Linked DNA regions of Oryctolagus cuniculus. The protein of the gene in region 3 interacts with the protein of the main gene of each other region in a pairwise test. Links are inferred from orthologs where the notes say so. Each region holds a gene or a part of one and is shown on either strand. Other genes may lie near its edges.

What was found.
Region 1: the proteins of EXOC8 (region 3) and MBIP interact in binary tests that used the Homo sapiens proteins (3 or more experiments, as listed by UniProt). The two-hybrid records come from large-scale screens. The link is inferred for Oryctolagus cuniculus from reciprocal best matches to the Homo sapiens genes EXOC8 and MBIP.
Region 2: the proteins of EXOC8 (region 3) and USHBP1 interact in binary tests that used the Homo sapiens proteins (3 or more experiments, as listed by UniProt). The two-hybrid records come from large-scale screens. The link is inferred for Oryctolagus cuniculus from reciprocal best matches to the Homo sapiens genes EXOC8 and USHBP1.
Region 4: the proteins of EXOC8 (region 3) and WASHC1 interact in binary tests that used the Homo sapiens proteins (3 or more experiments, as listed by UniProt). The link is inferred for Oryctolagus cuniculus from reciprocal best matches to the Homo sapiens genes EXOC8 and WASHC1.

What each region holds. Positions count from the first base shown.
Region 1 is NC_091443.1:39,330,313-39,335,431, reverse strand, and holds part of MBIP (MAP3K12-binding inhibitory protein 1), read right to left. Parts: intron 2,487-5,119; coding exon 2,421-2,486; intron 1,974-2,420; coding exon 1,821-1,973; intron 1-1,820. UniProt on the Homo sapiens protein: Inhibits the MAP3K12 activity to induce the activation of the JNK/SAPK pathway. Component of the ATAC complex, a complex with histone acetyltransferase activity on histones H3 and H4.
Region 2 is NC_091447.1:65,253,597-65,258,954, forward strand, and holds the end of USHBP1 (harmonin-binding protein USHBP1), read right to left. Parts: intron 5,333-5,358; coding exon 4,993-5,332; intron 4,664-4,992; coding exon 4,538-4,663; intron 4,411-4,537; coding exon 4,274-4,410; intron 4,088-4,273; coding exon 3,947-4,087; intron 3,871-3,946; coding exon 3,715-3,870; intron 3,623-3,714; coding exon 3,373-3,622; intron 3,148-3,372; coding exon 2,923-3,147; intron 2,290-2,922; coding exon 2,192-2,289; intron 2,015-2,191; coding exon 1,892-2,014; intron 1,639-1,891; coding exon 1,443-1,638; 3' UTR 1,396-1,442; downstream 1-1,395.
Region 3 is NC_091444.1:50,852,280-50,858,066, forward strand, and holds the start of EXOC8 (exocyst complex component 8), read right to left. Parts: upstream 3,392-5,787; 5' UTR 3,248-3,391; coding exon 1,067-3,247; 3' UTR 1-1,066. Other genes in the region: DNA-dependent metalloprotease SPRTN, read left to right, coding at 3,868-4,088, 5,311-5,410. UniProt on the Homo sapiens protein: Component of the exocyst complex involved in the docking of exocytic vesicles with fusion sites on the plasma membrane.
Region 4 is NC_091440.1:106,627,430-106,632,548, forward strand, and holds the end of WASHC1 (WASH complex subunit 1), read right to left. Parts: intron 3,554-5,119; coding exon 3,442-3,553; intron 3,261-3,441; coding exon 3,114-3,260; intron 2,976-3,113; coding exon 2,839-2,975; intron 2,667-2,838; coding exon 2,531-2,666; intron 2,373-2,530; coding exon 2,171-2,372; intron 2,089-2,170; coding exon 1,924-2,088; intron 1,404-1,923; coding exon 1,245-1,403; intron 772-1,244; coding exon 703-771; intron 589-702; coding exon 449-588; 3' UTR 315-448; downstream 1-314. UniProt on the Homo sapiens protein: Acts as a component of the WASH core complex that functions as a nucleation-promoting factor (NPF) at the surface of endosomes, where it recruits and activates the Arp2/3 complex to induce actin polymerization, playing a key role in the fission of tubules that serve as transport intermediates during endosome sorting.

The DNA.
Region 1 (5,119 bases), on a different chromosome or scaffold from region 3:
AGTCCTGGCTGCTCCACTTCTGATCCAGCTCTCTGCTATACCTTCAGAAAGCAATGGAAGATGGCCCAAGTTCTAGGGCCCCTGCACCTGTGTGGGAAGACCTGGCGGAAGCTCCTGGCTCCAGACTGGTGCAGCTCCAGCCGTTGCAGCCAACTGGGGAGTGAACCAGTGGATGGAAGAACTCTCTCTGCCTCTTCTCTCTCTGTGTAACTCTTTCAAATAAATAAAATAAATCTTTAAAAAATATATCATCAGTGCTTGGCTTATTGCAAGGGCTTAATACATAGTTGATGAGTGAAAAAATACTAAATTTGATGTAACTGTAAGGACAACAGGAAACCATTAAAGATTTCTGAACTTTAGAAAAAGCATTTGGGACACAGGATAAAGAGTAATCTAGAGGAGGTCTACTGGCAAACAGACCAGCTGATATCCTTCCATCAGCCCATGGAGATCACAGTGGTGTCAACTAAAGCAGCTGTGGTGACAGATGAAAGCAGAATCAGGCCGGCGCCGTGGCTCAATAGGCTAATCCTCCGCCTTACGGCGCCGGCACACAGGGTTCTAGTCCCGGTCGGGGCGCCGGATTCTGTCCCGGTGGCCCCTCTTCCAGGCCAGCTCTCTGCTGTGGCCCGGGAGTGCAGTGGAAGATGGCCCAAGTGCTTGGGCCCTGCACCCCATGGGAGACCAGGATAAGTACCTGGCTCCTGCCTTCGGATCAGCACGGTGCGCCGGCCGCGGCGGCCATTGGAGGGTGAACCAACGGCAAAGGAAGACCTTTCTGTCTCTCTCTCTCACTATCCACTCTGCCTGTCAAAAAAAAAAAAAAAAAAAAAAAAAAAAAAAAAAAAAAAAGGCAGAATCAACACGGCATGGTGACTGAATGTGGAGGGAAACACAGGCTTTGCAGCCAGTTCAAATCTGGGTCTGATTTCCACTTGTCTCTATCTTACAACCTTGAGCATGTTGCTTGAGCCCTTTGAACAGCAGTTTCTTCATCTGTGCAGCAGTAACAGCACCAGTGCCTTGAAAGGGTACGATTAAGTATTAAGGGAGCTGACATGCTCTCAAAGTGACTGGCTCTTAGTATCATTTTGTTAGTTTACCTTCCCTGTGGCTTTTATTTATTTATACGCTTATCCTCACTGAGGGATCCTTGAAGACGAGGACCACATTCATCCACACCTTGTATGTAACAGTGGGTGATAAGAAGTCGTGGGAAGCTATCAAAGTGGTGGTAAGAAAAGCCTACTTTAAGGTCCCTGCATCGTGGCACAGCAGGTTAAGCTGCCACCTGCAACACAGGCATCCCATATGAGTTCTGCTTCGAGTGCTGGCTGCTCTGCTTCTGATCCAGTTCCCTAATGCACCTGAGAAAGCAGACGATGGCCCAAATGCTTAGATGGAGATCTGCCCTCCTGGCTTCAGCCTGGCCCAGGACTGGCTATTACACTCATTTGAGAAGTGAACCAGCAGCAGGTAGAAGATCTCTGAAGCTCTGCCTTTCAATTAAATAATTATTAATAAAGACTACAATAGTTTTCAGTTTTAATTTCAATAAACTGAGGCTATCAGCAGCTATTTGGAACCTAGTCTCATTTTTCTAGCACTCTATTTTAGAAAGTCGCATGATGTGTGAGACAAGAACAAGCTTAAGCAAGAACTATAAAGTCGGGACCACACTTCATTCCTTGTCATATCCATCAGAACAATGTTTTACCCACAAAAGGTATTCAACGGAAATTTGGCGATGAAATGAACTGGAATTTCCTTACTCGCCTGCAAAGGTACACCACGGGCGCCACCTTCCCTCGGCTTACCTGTCTGCAGTCGCAAGTGAGCCTCAATATTCTGTAGTCGTTCTTCTACAGCCTGATTACCACAGTCTCGAAGCATGCTGTTAGGTTTGTGACCTGACCCTTGAATTCCTTCAGGTCTAGTCTGTGGTCCATATGTATTCACAACTCTAGAAACTAAGTAAAGAAACTTTTGAGCCTATATAAATTTGCTTTAAAAGTCTCAGCCTTGGTCAGCCCTACCATCCCACATCAAAGTACCGGGTTCAGTGTCCAGCTCCATTCCTGACTCTAGCTTCCCGCTAATTCAGACTCAGGGAGGCAGCAGTTCACGCCACCCATGTGGGACAACTAGACCGAGTTTACAGCTCCCAGTTCCGGCCCCAGCCAGAGCCTACTGCAGGCATCAGGAGGACAAACCATAGACAAGAGCTCTGTTTCTCAAATAAATTTAAATAAATAAATAACCATCCAGAAATTCCTTCCCTAATAGTACTTTAGGCAAGACCTCTTGTTTTGTGTTGAAAATAAAATTTAGATATGGAAGTTATTTCTATTCCATTTTGCTAAAAGTCTAGAATAAGCTTCTGTCAGTGACAAAGTTACTACACAAGGATCACTTACCCTTTACGTGACTTTTAAATCCAGGGTAAGGGGTGAAAACAGCATCAGTTCTGGCACAACTATTTTCTAGAGGAGTTCAAATGAATAGAAGTTTAAATATATTCTTAACTTCAAATGCATAAATTGTGATACTTGTTAACATAATATTCATGGTAAGAACATAATCTTAAATACTATATAACAAATTCTTATCATATACAGGATAGAACTTAGTGATCTTCTTTATTCTTTGAAATATATAATATCTAGTCTTGAGATTTACATATAGAAAAACCATCAACATCAAAGGGCATTAATTTTATGTAAGTTTTAATAAAAACTAATATCCCTAAAAACCATGTGGACCTTTGGAGAAAATAATTGCTGTATTACAAAGTATTTTAGGTGCCAGCGCTGTGGCGCAGGGGGTTAACACCTTGGCCTGAAGTGCTGGCATCCCCTATGGGCGCCGTTTCAAGATCTGGCTGCTCCACTTCCGATGCAGCTCTCTGCTATGGCCTGGGAAAGCAGTGAAGGATGGCCCAGGTCCTTGGGCCCCTGCACCTGCGTGGGAGACCCCAGAAGAAGCTCCTGGCTTCAGATCAGCGCAGCTCCAGCCATTGCAGCCAATTAGGGAGTGAACCATTGGATGGAAGACCTCTCTCTCCTCTCTCTATGTAACTCTGACTTTCAAATAAATAAATCTTAAAAAAAATTTAATTCTACTTCATCATAGACAGAATTCATTTTTACCAAATTATCTTTTAAAAACAGCATTGTTCATACTTATAAACTGAACTTGTGAACATCTAATAAAAATGATTACACTTTTAACATCTTTTTATTTCAGAACTCCACACAAAACAGACCTTGAAATTTCAAGTATAACACATACCTTCCCACTCTACCTATATTTCCAATGCTCATTTTAAAAACTCCTAATCACAGAAGTCATCTTTCCATTCCACCTTTCAAAAAATGCCATTCTAAGAAAGATGTACTGTAAAATTCTGTTCCAATTTTTTTCCAAACTAAAGTCTAGTTTCTTTCATATTAGAAGTCAATAAATAAATTACAAAGGAGGAAAATTTAAAAGATGTTAATATATATTAGTATAAATACTATAATTATACATTATCGTATTATTAACATATAATACTACATTAATAATACCAATGATTGAAATGATAGTAAAACCATCTACTGGCACAAAATTTTCATGATTATTTCCTAAGAAATGGAAAATTAATGAGATACTAAAAAATTCTTTTCCCTATGGAATTCAACTTTACAAAACTACTCTTTGTATTTAGGTCAAATTAAGAAATTTAAATGAACACGCCAACACATTAAAACATTTATATTTTTTCAGCCTAAGTTTCCTTAATAGTTCTGCTTATAAGTGAAATTGTGGAAATAAAATTCTCAATCCACTTTTCTATCTAGAGACTAAACAGAATCATTTTCTTTTTCTTTATTCTTTTTGGAGATACTTGAAAATGTCTTAAAGGGCCATCACTTCTCCATTCTCTTTCTATCATATCATGGGGCTAAGGGTTAAAAAAAGAAGCTATCATCTATTCCACAGATATATTCCAAATATATAGATTAACTGACCCATCAGTGAGAAATTCAGCATGGTGTGAAGACAGTGAATGTAGGAGCGCTAGTCACTCTCCACAGCAATTCTTGCTAGCACTGTTTTGAGCCAGCAAGGGATTGAATGGGCCAAGGAATCCTGCTGAGCATTTCAATTCTTGTCAATTTCTATCCCCTGGTGGCTTATAATAATAGAGTTAGCAGGGAGAACAGAGGAATAACATTACTGACACATGTGCTTGCTCCCTCAACAAACCCTTTTTCATGGACTGCTGGCAGTTGGATTGTAGCACCTGAGCTTTTTGCTACTGCTGCACCTGTTTTAAAAAGTGAACAGGAAAACACCCCAAATTCAGACACAGACACACACACACACAGACACACATGAATGTGAATAATAGAAAATGCTGAATTTAGGACCCAACCTGAGCCTGCATTGTTTCATCATTAAGACAGGGAGGGAGTATACCAACGTGGTATGAGTCACTTCCAGGCTCATCTGACAAGTCTGTGTTCGTGATAATTACTCAAGATATTAAAGGCAACAAGAAAAATGTTCGTTCCAATTATGAACTCTTCTCTGTAATTTTTCCCAAGAACTACTTGTTCTGATTATTAGTGTGATGCCTGAGTATGATCTACAGCCGTGCCTTGCAGTATTCTGTATGCTGCAGCGTACCTGCAGATCCGTAAACGTACTACAGTGTCAAGTGCAGAGGACGAGAATCTGATGAACAGCAGCAAACACATGCAGGAGGAAAGAAAGAGGAAAAGCACAAGACACCACGGTCCTCGTGACAAACGGATTGTATAATGAAATGGAGCATTTCAAACAGCTCAGGAGCAATGAGAAAACTGCTCCCTCTTGAGGAATACCACTAACTTCACTAAGTTCACTTTCTGTATTAACATCCTAACTTCCTAAGCACATTTGCAGGCTTAAACTTCATATGCTCAGCTCCTTTTTCTAGTGAGACAGAACATCTCTGCCACCCACTCTTCACTCTCATTTCCTAAAGGAACTTAATCTTTTCACTTGAGCTAAATATTAGCCTTTTTATGTTAGCATTTATTTGATTGTTGTGGAACCAAAATAAAAATCAGTTTTTCAATGTAGTCTA
Region 2 (5,358 bases), on a different chromosome or scaffold from region 3:
GCTTAGGGGAGACGTGGCGTGGACTTCCCGCCAGTCACATGGCGCGGGTTCTTTCTCCCTTTCCATAAACCCTGCCGGGCGGGGGGCCTGAGTGGGCAGAGAGGACCCTTCGGCTCGTCGGCTCCTTGGGAATGGGGGGTACCGCGGGGTCCTAGGACCCTCGGCCGGACCTGCCAGGAGCCTTAGCAGGAAGCTCGAGTGCTGGGGGGGGGGTGGCAGGGAAGGGGTCTAAAGAGGGGGGTAAGAAGGCGAGGTGGGAACGGAGGGGGACCTCCGGGCTGCTGCCCCGCCCCTGTGAGGCCCGGCTGGGGAGAGGGATGGCCCGAGGCGCGACCCCGCCCCCCTGACCCCTGCCCGCGACCCCGCGGTGACACTTGACCTTGCGGCGGCCGCGGACGGGCGGGACAAAGAGCTCCTGGCGCATCTGCAGCGGGGGACGCCCGTGGGAACGGCCAGACCCCGCGGCGACAGGCCGCCCCCGCCCCCGCCCGCAGGTGACCTTGGCTCCCTCCGCCCCGCCCCCGGGCAGCCTCGTGGGAGGGAGTGCAGACGCTGGGAGATGGACCAGGGCAAGAAGGGGGCGCTGCCTCAGTTTCCCACCTACGCTCAAAGCCGACGCGGGCGCAGAGTGAGCGCTGGGGCCCCAAAAGTCACCCATCCCTGCGATCCAGGGCCCGGCTGCCCCTGACCTCAAGCCGGCCTGGCCCCTCCCACCGTGGAGAGGCCGCGGGCCCCCGCACCACCTGCACAGGTGCGGTCTGGGGCGCCCACCCCCCCAGGTAGGGGCCCACAACCTTCCTAATCCCTCCTGTCTAGGGTTACTAATCCCAGCCCCCTAGGGCCAGCCAGCCTGCTGCGGAGGGGCTGGGGGTGCGGCCTATGCAAATGACATGCTAATCAGTCGCCTGCAATTAACCTGGCAGGAACGCCTCCCGCTGCCCCCAACCTCCGCGGGAGATCTGGAAGCTCCCAGGCTGCCCAGGGCCCGGCAGGCCTGTGCCCCACCCCCTCCCCGGAAGGACACGCATCGAGAGTTCCAGACTTTTCTCTGATGCCTGCCCTCAGCCTCCACAAACCCTGATTCCTCTTCCAGCCGACCATCCACGCCTTGAACCTGAACCTGAACCCCAACCTTGGGGGCCTCCAGTTGTTCTGGATTGTTCCCTGGGAAGCAGATGGGCAGGGGACGAGTGTCCTGTCCCCAGGGGCCCGCCCTGGGTTTCTGGACAAAGAAAGGACTTGGGGACATCAGCTCGGGCTCTGCCACCTTCCCTGTCCCCTGGATTGATTGTTCCGGGTCCCGGGGGGGGGAGGGGGAGACCATGACCTTCACAGCCTGACCCCGGTGGCCCAGGCAACCGGTCCCCACCCATGAGGACACATGCACCCCAGGGCGACAAGTCACTCCAGGCCGGTTTATGACACGTGGCTGGGGGTGGAGCCTACAGCAAGGTCTCCCCAAGCTGGGGGGGAGGAGGCGGGCAGGGGCACCCGGGCTGTTCCAGCGCCCGGGCCGTGGCTTCCAGTGCTGCCAACTCCTCCGCCTGCCGGGCCTCCAGGATTGCCACCTGCTCCTCCAACTTGCGCCGCTGCTCCTCCTGCTTCCGGTGGGCGCCTCTGAACGCCAGGACCAGGGCACTGCAGGGTGTGGGTGGCTGAGCCGGGGAACAGCGCCCCACCCCAGAGAACAGCACCCCCACCCCACCCAGGGCTGCGGCGGGGGCGGGGCGGGGCGCCGCGGGGGCGGGGCTACGTCCTAGCTGGCTCCGGGCATCCTGCAGGAAAGGCGTGGCCTGCACTGCACCCGCTCACTATCTTCCAAGTGGGGGGAACGAGGCCCAGGGACACACCCGCGGTCAGCAGGGGTGGGCTGCGGGGGGCGGCGGCCCACCTGTGCGCCTTGCATAGATCGCTGTTCAGCTCGGCGCTCTGAGCCCGCCGGACGCGCCCCTTCTGAGCCACCTGCTCCAGCTCCCGCCACAGAGCCCGCAGCTGAGCGCGAAGATCCGCGGCCCTGGCGCGGGAGTGGAGACAGCGGGGCTCCGGCCGCGGCCCGACCCGGTCCTCCTCTCCGCTCCCCACGCCCCTGCGCGCAGGCGCACGCTGCCACACCACACACACACACACACACACACACACACACACACGTCCCCACCCCCGCCTCCTCCGCAGAACCCACCCAGGCACACACCTGGCGAGCGAAGCGGCCAGCTCCTGGGCTAACCTCTCCGGGTCCCACGCCCTGCCCACCTGGCCTCCCTCGGTGGCGTTGGGGACAGCAGGAGGACCCTGTAGGAGACAGAAGGGAGGGAGGTGACCTCTGTCTAGAAGTGCTCAGCCCAGCCTGGGCATAGAAGCTGGCCTGGGGGGGGGGCAGCCAGAGCCCCTCGCTTCCCAGAGCCCCCATTCTGCTAAGAGACCCTCAAGTCCCTGATAAGGGAGATAAGTCACAGGGCCGGGGTGGGGTGGGGTGCCGAATATTGCTCCTTTGAGGGCAACCCAGGAGGGCTTCCTGGAGACGGTGGACATTCCTGGTGGCAGCACCGGCTTGCAGGTGGGAGGGGTGATGCGAAGAGCCCCGTTTAGAAGCCTGGGGCAGGGGCGGTGTGGTGGCACCGCGGGGCGGGCTGCTGCCTGGGACAGCCGTGGCCGTATCAGAGTGTTGGTGGCGTCCCAGCTGATCTGCGTGCGCCCCAGCTCCCTGCGCATGCGCCCCCTGGGAGGCAGGGGCCCACGACTCCAGGGCTTGGGTCCTGCCGCCCACGTGGGAGACCCGGATGGAGCTCCCGGCTCCTGGCCCAGACCCGGCCTTTGCAGCCATGTGGGGAGTGAACCGGCAGATGGAAGACCTCTCTCCCTCTCTCTCTCTCATCCACTGAACCCCTAGGGGCCAAGGGCAGCGACCCCCGAAGGGCCGCTCACCTGGGGCCGCTCCTCCTCCTCCTCCTCGCTGCTGCCCGCCCCGCTGCTGTCCCCCGCGCCGCTGTGGGGCCCCGCGGCTCCCAGCTGCGCGCGCTCCCACTGTAGCTGCTCCAGCAGGAGTGCGTGGGCGGGGCCCTGGGCGCGCAGCGCCGCCTCCCGCAGCTCCAGGCCCCGCTTCTCCCGCCGCACCAGCTGCAGCTGCAACATCAGGTCCGCCAGGGTCTCCTGAGGGGTCGGGGAGGGGAAACTGAGGCTGGCGAGCACGTTTGGGAAAAACTGGATTGAGAGGTCTGTGAGTAACAAAACTCCTATTCATCCCTCAAAACCCCAGCTTCAATTCTCCCTCCAGGAAGCCCTTCCCAGCCCAGCAGAACCTTTCCCCCTCCCCATCCCAACCACACCTCTGTCGGTTCTGACCCCCCCCCCCCAGGGACCACAGCCCCTGTGTACCCGTGTGGCCACCAGTTCCCTCTGTATCTCCATCTTCTCCAACCGCGGCAGGGCCGGGCCGGGCTGGGCTTCCAGCATGGCCTGCACCATGGCTTCTGCGTGGGGCATGGTGGGCGTGGGCTCCACGGTGGGGCCCGGCTCTGGGGGGGTCTTCACCAGAGCCTGGCGCTGCCGCAGACGCCGGGCATAGCCCTGCAGCAGGGCGGCCACTTCCTGCGGTGTGGGTTTATCCACACTGCTGCCCTCGGGGCTGCGGGAGGAGAGGAGGAGTGGGTGCCGCAGGCCATCACGGAGGCCAGCCCCGGGGAGCCCCAAGGCCCAGCGCGGTCCCCGGGCGCCTACCTTGGCTGTGCCTTCCGCGGTGCCGCGGCGTCTGCGCCGCCCTCCTCCTGTGCCAGCAGCCGCCACGCCTCCCTCTCAGTGGCCTCCAAGTCCCGCGCTCCGGAGCTGGCCTCGTGCAGGGCCAGGAGAGCCGCGCACACGGCCTCACGGTGCTCACTGCGGGACGGGGGTCCTGAGCGCCCTCCCACGCCGTGGCTCGCGGCCCCTCCCCCGCGGGGACCTCTCCCCTGACCTGTCCTGCAGCGCCAGCCGCAGGGCTGTAGCCTCGGCTTCCCGCTGGCTCAGCCGCATGCTGAGGCTCTCACACCGGCCCTTGCGCCCTTGCAGCACGGCCAGTAGCAGCCGGTTGAAGCATTTGAGCTTCTCGATGTTTCTGTCTCGGGGTGGGGGAGGGAGAGGGAAAACGAGGGGACTCTTTGGAGGGGGGGAGCAGCCAGGGGCCAGTTTCCACCCCGCTCCTACCCCGTTTAGACGCCCATCCCCGGGGCTTAGACGCCCATCCCCGGGGCGGCAGGACAGCGGCCGGTGCCCTTAAAAGCTCAGCAGTGGTGGCGCTCACCCGCGGAGCTGTTCCATCTGGGCCTCCAGGATCTGCATCTCGGGGGCCAGGGGTCGCGAGGGGAGAGAGCCCAGGATGTGCACACTGGAGTCACTCCGGATGCGCCGGAGCAGCGGGTGAGCCAGGGAGAGGGAGTCCTGCAGGGAGGACGTGTGCCCTGAGCCAGCCAGATGGCCACCGAGAACCCAGGGCCATGCAACCCCCCAGAGCCAGGATCCGGGTCTCCCCTGCCTGGATGCTGCGGGTTGCGCCTCTCGCACTCACCTGACCCCCCCAGGGCTCCCCATCCGCCCCAGAACTGCTAGAACCACTCCCTGAGCCTCCAGCGTGGCTGTGGGTGCGCGGAGACAGGGGCTCCAGCCTCATCAGAGCATCCTGTAGCTCCTGGACCTGCGAGGGGTGAGGACAATGCCGGGTTGGCCGCGGGTGGGGGAGGGGAGGTTTCAGGCTTGGGGGCTCCACCCACGCACCAGCCATGCCCAAAGCCACTTCTGGGGTGGTGAGGAGAGCCCCAAATCTCCAGGGCCCCGCCCTCTCCTCTAAGGACACGGGCCAAGCGCCTGCCCCTGCGTTCTGGTCTTTATTCCGCTGTCGCCTTCACGGAGGCTGTGAGGGACCCGCGTCTGATGGGCGCCCTAGGCCAGGGCTCCCTAGAGGTTTGTCGAATGACTAACGGAGCGTGCGTCCCGCGCTGCACTTGCCTCCGCGGCCCCGCTCACCTCTCTCTGCAGCGTCTCCTTGTCGGCCTCGAGGGCCCGCAGGGCGGCCCGCGTGTGGCCCAGCTCGTCCTCGCGGCTCTGCAGGGCCAGCCGCAGCCAGGCGTTCTTCTCGGCCAGCCGCGCCGCCTCCCGCGCGCCGCCCCCGGCCCCTTCCTGCTCTGCGGAGGGGCCCGGGCCCCCAGCGCCTGCGCCCTCTGCTGGCCGGCGGCGCCAGGCGGCTGCAGCCGCCTCCAGGGAGCTCAGAGCGCGTTGCAGGCTCTGAAACACACTGAGGTCCGCCGGCCCCTCAGGTGCATCTGCCGCGGGCGCTGAAGCCACTCCGTCGGCCTCCTGGGCCGTCCTGCGAACACCAAGGCCAGGCTTGGG
Region 3 (5,787 bases):
TCTTCCCTTTCCTTTGGGCACACTGTCTCACTTCGGTTCTCCACTTTGTTACAAAAATACAAAACCAAAAACAAATCTCTGCTCAAAGTTGTCATACTCAGTGAAACCACTGAGATTTGCTTATGATTTTTTTTCTACTTTCCCAGCTACTCAGTCCCTAAAATCTAAATAGTTCAGTGAAAAATTTTTTGCATTTGCTTGATGACAGCCCCTAATAACCTACATTGAAAAGGGAGCTAAAATCACTGGCTGCAGTCAGGATTGTCAAGTTTCCTGTTTTATTATTATTATTATTAAATATAAATATAACAGACAAAAGCTCCAGCTGGAAATTCACACAATTCAGAAACGTGTTGAAAAAAATCACAATCTTTAAGATTTCCAAGTAAACGTTCCCAACTCCAGTAGGAAAACTATGGAGCGGCTAATTAACAAGTGAAAATAATTAGCCATTCAAATTCTGTTGGAAATGTTTGAATCTGTATAAAAGCTTCCTCCTATATAGGGACTGGAGTATCTGAGGCCCCAAGCTAGCTAGCTAGATCATGGAGAAAGAATTCTTTTGACTAGAGTTTACTCCGAAACCAACTTTCCCAACTCCTTTCTTTTCCCCAAAAAGTGTCCAATCACACTTCAAGAAGGGGAAGTACTGAGGCAGCGTGTTTTACATGGTACTGCACCCTTTAAGAAACGTAACCAGGAAACTTTTCACACACACGTAAACTGATGTATTTGTAGACATATTTATCTGTGTTGAATAAGATACACTGTGAGAAAGTGTATTTTGGTTCAAAGGAGAAGCTGAAATAACTGTAGTGCTATCATAAACCCATTAGAGAACTAGCATAATTTAAAAGGTCAGTATATGTTTTAACAACTTTGATATTTTTTGTTATTTGGGCTTAATTTTACATTCTTTTCCTTTCTTCTTTTGGTTTTGCATCTCTGAGGGCACTTTTTACTTGTAAGCTGTGTTTGAGACTATACAGAATATGCTAATACAACAATATAAATATAAATAACCTATAAGCACTATCATCTGTACACATATGGACAGACTCCAGCCTCAGACGACTGATGTCGTACTTTCAGGATTCACCCGCATGAGTCTTGATGCGTTCCTCAGGTCTTGGAGTTGCTTGGCAGGTTTCCCCACACCTTCTTCAAACCTTTTTTCCACCACCGGGAGCACCGTTTCATATAGGAAGGACGCATTCTGTCGGATAAAAGCCTTCTTCTCTGGATCCTGCTCGCACCGAAGGCTATAATCCACATGCTGGACGGCAACCAGAATGATTTCCACCAGGCTCTCCAACAGTACCATGTGCAACTCTGGGAAATACAGCTTTAAGGCCTCTTCCAAAAACGCCATGGTCTGTTTGGTGAAAGCGACCACTGTGTAACTTAGGTTCACCCAGCAGTCATCCCCGGTATACTGCTCAAAGTTACTCACCCCGCAACTTCTCATCTCTTCTTTGAGCTTGCCCAGGGCCTCTGGAGTCATCAAGTTCATCCTCCTCCACATCTCCTCCGAGTTGCGATGTTTGGTGGCTTCAATGATGATTTCTTTGTAACTGTGCAAGGCCCCCTGGATGTCTTTCACCAGAAGGGCGTGGATGATGAAGGTGAGGTCTAGTCCAATATCTCCCAGCTGCTGGCAGTGCTCCTTAGCCACCTTGACGCACTCTGCTGCCGTGGACAGGCTCTCCTTGCTATCAAACACCTGCTTGCTGAAAGCATCTACAAACATGCCCATGGCTGATCTCGCCCAGACCACAAAGGCAGAGTAGCAGCCACTGTCGGTGCCGGCGAAATCTGTCTCAAATTCTCTGGCAGTCTCGAGAAGACACGTAAAGAAGACATGGCACAGCTTATGAATATAGAGTAAAGTGGCACCTTCAATGCGAAGCTGACGGATGGCCGTGTGCACAGCTGCCGCTCTGTTTCTCAAAAACAGCTCGCAAGCCTTTGTGCACTGGCCAAGCCGGATTAGCTGAGAAACCGCCCTGCGAGTAGCCTTGGGCCCACCTCGCAAGGAACGACCTGGGGACAGTTCAAAAACCAGCACCTCCGTGAGCTGCCGGACACGCTCATCCACCTTGGCCCTGAGTTCTTTTACAGGAGGTGGGCTGGGCTTGTCTTCTAGGTAATGATTCAATTTATCTAGCAGGTCAACGGCCCCCTCAAAGTCCCTCTGAGCAATGCACACATCCAGGTCTTCAGGTAACTCCTGGATCCACTCCATCGATAGGTCCACCTTCTCTTCCTCCACCTCGGGGACAGCTGGCTCTTCGTCTTCATCATCCTCAAACGGGTTCGTGGCCTTGGAGGTCACTTGGGGAGGCCCTCTAGAGGCCGCTGCTTCCTCCTGTTCCCTTCGTCTTTTTTCACTGAGGGCCCTCTTGGTTTCTTCCAGCACCTCCAGCCACTCTCGTTTTATTTTGGCATTTTCTGCCTGAAAAATGCGACTCTCGGGGAACATCAGCAGCTTGAACATGTCCTTCATGGGTGGGTTGTCCTTGACATTGACCACGGCCAGGCCATCTAGGGGATAGAGAGCATTGTAGCGATACATCCCCCGCCGCTGGGGCAGCCAGGTGGCCACCAGCAAACAGTCGTTCATGAGAAAGCCGTGCACCCGCTGCAGCTGGGCCATGTGATCCGCTTCGTATTCCACCAGGTCCCCGTTGTACACCAGGTACTGCCCCGGGGTCTCCAGCAGGTGCCTGCAGCCTTCCACCTTTTCAAGCAGGGTGGTGAGAGTGCGCTGCTTTCCTTCCTCGCCCGGGCCGGAACTGTCGCGCGAGGCGCCCCCGGGGCTGGGAAAAAAGCCGGCCTGGCCTCGGAGGTGGTCTCGGCCCCCAGCGCCACCTGCCCCCTCCTCCCCGCCCGAGGCAGCGCCGGCCCCCGCGGCGGCGGCGGCGGCCGGCAGCAAGGTGAGCGGGATGCTCTCCAGGCTGCTCTTCTGTTCCGTCAGGAGATGGCTGAGCTGGTACATCTCGCTCTCCAGGTAGGAGATCTCGCGGGCCGTCTCTATGAACTGCCGGTAGTTCTGGTAGACGTTGCGTTTCAGGTTTTGCGCTGTCTCCTCCGCCAAAGCCTGGATGCGCTGCCGGTGCTCCTGGAGGTCCCGGTCCCCGTCCGACTGCTGCGAGAGCTGCTTCACGTACAGCCGTGCCTCAAAGCTCCCTGATTCTAGCTGCCGCCGCAGGCGGCTCGCTCCACTGTCCGACATCGCCATCGCCATTTCCGTCTGGGTCTCAGGCAGTCGCTGTCACTGTCGCCACGGCTGTCGAGACCCACCCAACTCCAGCCGAGCTCCAGGGCTTAGGAAGCAAGATGCGAGCAAGACGAGTACGCCTGCGCCCGGGTCTGAGCTGCTCACACTGCGCCTGCGCAAGCGGCTGAGCGCAGACCGTACGACTGCGCAGGATTGCCCGCGAACTAGAGCGCACGCGCAGGAGGAGTTATTGCGGAAGCGGGGAGAGGGCGAGAGGGCGAGGCTTAAGTACTGCGCATGAGCAGAGCGTGACGTTTGGGTTTGAAGTTCCTGGTGAAGCGTAGACGCGTTAACTAGCTTCCTGTAACCGTCCTCGGGCCGAGCCCGGGGTTCTGCTCCAGTTTCGAGGTGTCACGGCTAGTTTCTTGTTTAAGCCCTAGAATCTTGCCGTCGGAGTTCGGAGCAAACTCGGTTCTGGTTCCTGTTCTCAGTTCCGTTTTCCCCGAGTTCTCGCGAGATTGGCAGAGCGACCCCGAGAGCAGCCCGAGAACCGGTATCCTAGGAGCTTGAAGCCTCTGAAACGTTTCTGCGGCCTGAGTCGGGAGTCAGCCTAACGCCAGTGAGCCCCGACTGGGATCCTGGCAGTGATGGATGAGGACCTGGTTTTGGCACTTCAGCTTCAGGAGGAGTGGAACTTGCAGGTTGCGGAGCGCGATGGCGCCCAGGAGCCCCTGTCGCTGGTAGACGCGTCCTGGGAGTTGGTGGACCCCACGCCGGATTTGCAGGCCCTGTTTGTGCAGTTCAACGACCGGTTCTTCTGGGGCCAGCTGGAGGCCGTGGAGGTGAAGTGGAGCTTGCGCATGACCCTGTGAGTCCCGAGCCCCGCGGGGGGAACCGAGGCGGAGGGGGCCGCACTTCTTGCCTGCCAGTCCCAGGGGAGTTAAACCAGAGCGTTTGGCTTTGGACGCTTGATGTGTTTCTCTCTTCTTATCCAGTTCAAACAGCTAAGAAAGCTATGTAGCTCACGCCACTGTAGTTGGAATTAGAAAGAACATAATGAGGGGGAAAAAGACCAAAAGAAGAAGAAGAAAAAAAAAAAGACAACTCGCCCCACTGTAAAGTCACACGTTTCTAACCTTCCTGTGCTAGTGCTCTAGAAAACAAGAGGGACAAGCACTCAGATCTTTCCAGAAAGGCAGCTGAGGACGCAGAAAAACTGCCGAAGGCTGCGTGATGGCCTAGTTAACAAACCACCACTTGGTGTAGTGAGCCAGTGTTTTGGAATGGGGAGGGAGTTGAGGTCTCCATATTTCTCGACTCGGGAGCTCTTTGGTGATGCTTCTAAAAGGATCCCCTCTCTACACATGAAGTTTGAGAGCTGCTGATTTGAGTTGATAAGCTGCACATTATCAGAGTTAAGTTTCAGTTACCACTTTGCCATGCCTCTTTTTCTGACTGAGAAAGACAGAGATTTTCCATTTGCTGGTTGTCTTCCTAAATATCCACAACAGGGGGTGGAGTGAGGTTGGGGGTGGGGACGGGGTAGGCCAGATTGAATGCAAGAGCTAGGAACTCCATCTTGGTCTCCAACACAGGTGACAGAAACTCAAGTAGTGGGGCCATCATCTGCTGTCTCCCAGGGGCATTAGCAGGCAGCTGGTCACTGAAGCAGGGCTGAACCTGCCGTGTCACAGTGCCTGCCCCCCACGGTTGTTTTTGATTTGATACAAAACAACCTACAGTAGGACAGATTAAGGTGTGATACAAAATCGTGTTTAAAGTACAAATCTCCTTCATATATGCTGCTGGACATCTGCTTGTTAACCACCACAAACTGATGATAGCTTGTGGGGGGAAGAGGCTTAGAGTAGAACAGGATTGTCCTGGGTGAGCTCTTGCATGCAGCCTGCAATGGAGTGGGAAGCCATTGCTCTTCATGAACAGAGATGAAGCACTAGTGTCTGTTCCCAAAGAGGATATACTTTCCAGAAAGCTCTCTCCTAATAGAGTGTATAAGAATCTGTTTTGTTTCTCTTTTGTATATGTCTGCTTGATAACTGTAACCCATTTTTGTGGTGGTTGTTTTCCAGGTGTGCTGGCATATGCAGCTATGAAGGAAGTGGTGGAATGTGTTCCATCCGTCTTAGTGAACCCCTTTTAAAGTTGAGACCAAGAAAGGATCTTGTAGAGGTATTCTTTGAGTAAACCTGATTCTTAGCTCAGTAATTTACAGATTCTTGTCACTGATTTAGATTGCTTTGAACTAACTTCTACATTTAAAAAGAAACATTTTTCTCATAGAATGCACTTGAGTTATGGGGCAAATAATAATGAGTACCTTCTACTTTTACAGTGCTTCAAAGTTAAGAAAGGATTTTAGGTATATTATCTCGTATCTTATTTAATCTTTATGATAGCCCTATGTGTTGTGATCTTCAATATTTAAAAAAGCTTTTTTTTTTTTTTTTTTTGAAAGGCAGAGTTACAGAGAGAGGGAGAGAGAGATTGATTGATTGATTGATCTTCCATCTGCTAGTTCGCTCCCTAAATGACTGCAACAGCCAATG
Region 4 (5,119 bases), on a different chromosome or scaffold from region 3:
AACCCCAGCTCCAGGCTTAGCCAGAGAAGCCGCTAAAACAGATGGCCTTGCTGAGGCTGTCCCTGGAGCTAAGTCAGGCCTCTGCCTGTCTGCAGGAGGCTGTGGGACCTTGAATTAAAGGCGTTTGCAGCCTCTGGCGGCCAGATGGTGGCCCCTGCCCCCACAGCCTTGTGCTCTTCCCAGCACCAGATCAAATGCAGAGACACCTTCTATTCTGAGCCCGGAGAGAGGGCCTCGGGCTGCAGGGAAATGCTGCAGTATTTCTGTGTATGTCCTCCACAGCTGCAGTTCCGTAATAAAATGTGTGCTCCTGGTTTGCACTCAGTTCTTGCACTTTATTTCTGTGGCTCCTCTCAGCTCTAGGACAGCCCTGCCTTTGGAGAGGACTCAGGCACAGAGCCACAAGTCCTCACCTTTCTTGTCTCAAGGGGACCGAGAACCTGCTTCCCTAAGACTCCCAGTCATCTTCGTCGTCCTCTCCCGCTGGCTGCTGGGGAGGAGGCAGAGGAGGAATGGAATCAGACATTCGGGCGAAGGCTCCTCCAGGCCCCTCGCTGGCCCCTGTCCCAGGTCCTTTCCCAGATATGCCTGCAAGGGAAAAGGCTGAGTGAGGGAGGTGGGCCGGGGCCCCCATTCTCAGCCCCTGGGAACTTAGGGGAGGACCGTGTAGGATGCAAGTATCCCCTGCCCAAGGCCTCTGACCTTTGCGTCTCATGACCAGCTTGTTAAAGAGATCCGACATCAGGTCCCCACTCTGGCTCGTGGCTCTCACTGCAACAGAAAAGCCACAGTGAGGGAGGTGGAGGAGCCAGGCAGGAAGTCCCTGGCTTAGCTGCACTCGGCCCCACCCACCACCACCTGTTGACCACCTGCTCTCGGTGCCTCTGTGCAGACCCAGCAGTGTTAGAGTTGCATCAGTGTGAGCAGCCCTGCAGGAAACCTGGCCAGAGAGCTTAGGTGTGAGCTCGGGGCCGTTGACCACAGGGGCTCTGCTGCTCTCTGCCCAGGTCTCCATCCCATCAACTGCAGCCTCAGAGGGCTTTCAGGACTTGGACTGAGCTCCCCCTCAGGTGCTGCCTCAGGGTATCCCTGGGCCAGGGGTACTCACGACGAGTCCCCTTAGAGAGGAAAGCTAAGCTCAAGCTTTGTCTGTCTTGTAGGTGCCCAACCTGGGGGGAAGCCCACTGTGCAGGCAGAGCGGAGGTGGATGTCGGGGCGGCCCCTCCCCTGAGGGGGCCCCTCACCTTGCTCCCGCTCCTTCTGTTTCTTCTTCTCCAGCTTGCGCTCCTTGACGCTGCGCAGCTTGGCCTTGCCGATGCCGCCGGCTTGGCGGATGGACTCCAGCAGGGTGGCCCGGCCGCTGGAGGGGTCGACCACTTCTTTGGGAGCTCCCTGGACTGCCGCTGGGAGGGGGGAAGGCTGTTCAGGCAGGGACTCGGGCCGGCTGAAGGTGAAGCCCGGTGCGCACGGCGGCCTGGGTGTTCCTGTCCCCAGCTGCCCGAGCACCAGGGCCTAGATGCAGCCCTCCTAGTTCTCCCACTGCAAAGGCGAATGCTGAGATTCCTGATGGGCTGACAGGGTCTCAGCAGTGCCCCACGAACCAGCGAGGGACTTCTGTGTGCCTTGTGGATGGGGCCATGCACCAGGAGCTAGAACATCACAACTGAAGTTTGTGACCTCACATTTTAAATAACCCCCTTTCCCCATTGGTGGGAATGGGGGGCCCAGGCTCCCCCTCCTGGGGTTAGAATTCCGGAGCTCTCTAGGACACTTGAAAAACAGGGTTTTATGAACCCACTGAATAAAACATTTGAAAGGAGAGCTGTTCCGAACATGCAGAATTCGCAGAATTCACAGTCCCTTGAACCTACAGGTGCCTCAGAGTGTGTGTGTGCCCTGGCCCCTGCCCAGTGCTGCTCCTACCTGGAGGCCCACTGCTGCCGCTGTCATCTACCCTGGCACCTTGGCCGGTGGAGGCCACTGTCTGGGGAGGTGGTGGTGGGGCACTGACCAGAACCGCAGGTGCTGGGGGAGGTGGCGGGGGTGGAGGGGGTGGTGGGGGTGCTGTGAGCACCCCATCCTCCAGGTCTGAAAGAGAAGGTTGGGAACACGTGAGGCCCTCGAGAAGGAGGCTGCGGGGCCAGGGAGTCCCCCGGAGCTCCCAGCTCACCTGGCTTGAAAGGCTCCACCACCTCCGTGTGGAAGGTGGGCAGCTCTGGAATGGCGCCGGGGGCCGAGGGGGCAATGCCGGGGCCCAGGTCGGCGCTGTACATGAGGTCATCAGCGATGCCGGGCAGGTCCGGCAGGTAGGAAGGCACATCGATCTCGGGCACCTGGCCCAGGTCTGGCACGTAGAAGTAGTTCTCTGGAACCTGTAGGGTCAGTGAGGTGCATGAGCGGCCAACGGGGCTGCAGGCCACATCGTGACCCTGGGGCAGAGGGGAGGTCGCCTTGTGCCAGCACACAGCTGGGTGGGATTATGGCTCCTTGCAGGGACCCCACCACCTGCCTCTCCCCCGCCCCTTGCCACCTGTCGCTCTAGCTGTTCTCTCTTGCTGATGGACAATGGCGCATCGAATAGCTTCTCCCCTGTCTCTGCCCCCAGCATCACATGGGTCTTGGTCACAGCACCGGCCAGCGGGTCAAGGAAGACGTACTTCTTGTACCTGTGGGAGGAGGGGTGTCAGGCCAGCAGCACCTTCCCTTCTAGGGCTGCATTCCTGACCACGGTGGCTTCCCAAGCCTCACAGGCCGGAGGAAAGCGCTCGGCTCCTGCTGCCCCTGTAGGCCCGGCCAGTCCACCCAGCCTCTCCGCACAGCCCCGCCACCTGGCCGTACAGGTTCTCGGTGGTGTTGAAGAGCAGCAAGGAGCTGACGGAGCTGATGTTGCTGGGAAGGCCCCCAAGCCCCTCCTCGGCTTCATCCTCAGGTCCGGGCTTGGTGCTCACACACACGGGGAAGTATTTCAGCTTCTCCTGGGGGCGGCCAGAGGGTAGATGGAGATTTCAGCTCTGGGTCCTGTGGACCCCACCCCATCCCCGCATCCTCTCCAGGGACAACTCTCTGTCCAGTGGGCCCGCAGCCTCCCTGCCCAGGGTATGTGGCCATGACACCTGCAGGGCCCGCTCATCCAGGGGGCGGTGCTTGCTCTGGATCCTGTGGCGGGGCCGCCCCTGCAGGCCGGGGTCCTGGGCGCCCGAGAAGATGGAGCCGTATTCCTGCAGCCGCTCGGGAGCTGGGTACTTGGCACTGGAGAACACCTGTGGACACAGGGACACATCTGGGGCCTGAGGGGCTCCAGAGAGCCAAGGGTGGCTGGTAGTGTGGGAGTGGGTACTGGGATGCCGCAAGGAGGGAAACCTGACGTGTGGCAGGACAGCAGGAGTGCGGGAGATGGAGGAACTGCCTGTCCACCACAGAACCCAGGGGTGCACAGACTACCTTGATGGCCTTCTTGCTGCCCTTGATCTTCTCAATCTTGGCCTGGGCCAAGGAGACCCTCTGCCCGATGGCCTGCAGCTGGCTCCGGCTCAGCTCCACTCGCTGGGAGATCCTGCCAAGGGTAAGGTCACAAAGGCTGGGGACTGCACCCAAGCCCTCATTCTCCTGTCTCTCCTGCTGCTAACAGCCGACTTGTAAGGCCAGGGCGGGGCCAGGTCTCTCAAAACGTTATCTGTTTGGCCTGTTGTAGAGCTTCTGGGGGACGCTACCAGGATTCTCCAAGCACAGAGGCCTGGGAATGAACTGTACTAGTTTCCCTGGGGCCCTGCCTCCTGCCCCAGGAGTGTCCAGTCTCAGGCAGGGGTGTGCAGGACAGCCGCAATTACACATTCACATACAGCTGCTGGCAGGTGGCAAGCGCTGTCACAGGCCCCTACAACCCAGCTGAGGCAGACCGCGGCAGACCCCCGAGTTCAGTGGGGCTAAGTGACCAGCAAGGCTGGCCCCTACGCATAATGAACGGTTCTGCAGAGGCAATCCAGGCCCTGGTCACGGCTTCCCTGGCTCTTGGTGGTCTGGCTCCTCACCTGCTTCCACTGTGCCCTGGACACCAACTGCCTGGCCACCCCTGAACATGCCAAGCACGCTTGTCTGTGGCCTTAGCAACTTGAACATTTCCTGCAGACACCCACACAGCTGGCTGCTTCACCTAAGTCCCCTCCTCACAAGCCTACCTGACCATGGTCTCCCAACGTGCACCTGCCACGTTCCCCACCCCCGACCCAGTGGGGCCTGACGCACCTCCAGCCTGCGTGTGCTGCAGGCGTCAGGGCTGGGTTTTGTTCCCTGCTCCATTCTCTGGGACGGGGCCCGGCACCTGGCAGGGGCTCGCTGTACAGTGACTACACTACTGAGCCCCATGCCTCACCCTTCATGTATGGAAGCCTCACTCGGGCTTCCCACGACGTTTTACCCACTGCAAAGGTAACCGTGACTCACACCTGCCACGATTCCCCTCTTGGTTGCCCCTCCAGCTCCTGTCTCCGGGAGCACCAGCCCCTGCCACTCCCACCAGGGCCCCCATTCAGAGCAGGCATCACTAAGGTTCACCTGGTCAGAGCAAGCGCATGTCCATGGGGCAGGAGAGACAAGGAGGCAGAGAGCAAGTGTCACCCAGAGGGAAAGGTGGGAGGGCAGAGGGGCCCCTCCATCCCTGGGGCCAGGGAATCCCAGGATTTCTCCATAGGTTGACAGTGACATGCAGGAATCTGGCCGAAACTTCCAGCACCCTATGGAGTCGGTCCTGATGGAGTGGTGGGACTGGGGCACAGGCAGGTGCCAGAGCGGCCTAGTTCTCCCTGACAGGTGGGAGGCTGGCAGTACCCCAGGGAGGGAAAAGGAGGGGCCCTTCCTCCCGGTCAGAGAAGCGGAACTCGGGCCAGGGTGGGAGGGGGTCCTGTTTTAGCTCTTGTCATCCTGCGCTGGGGGTGGAAGTGTTAGGTAGGAAGTTAGGAATCAGCCTGTGTGTGAGAGGGGCCTGGGCATCTGCGGAGGCTCACTTTGGAAGCAGCCCAGTATTTACACTTGAGTCCTGCCCGGACCCTGTAACCTTCCAGGTGGTCCCAGGTAACAGCAATAAAACCACTGCATCCTTCCTCCAAGGCACGCACCCTAGGGA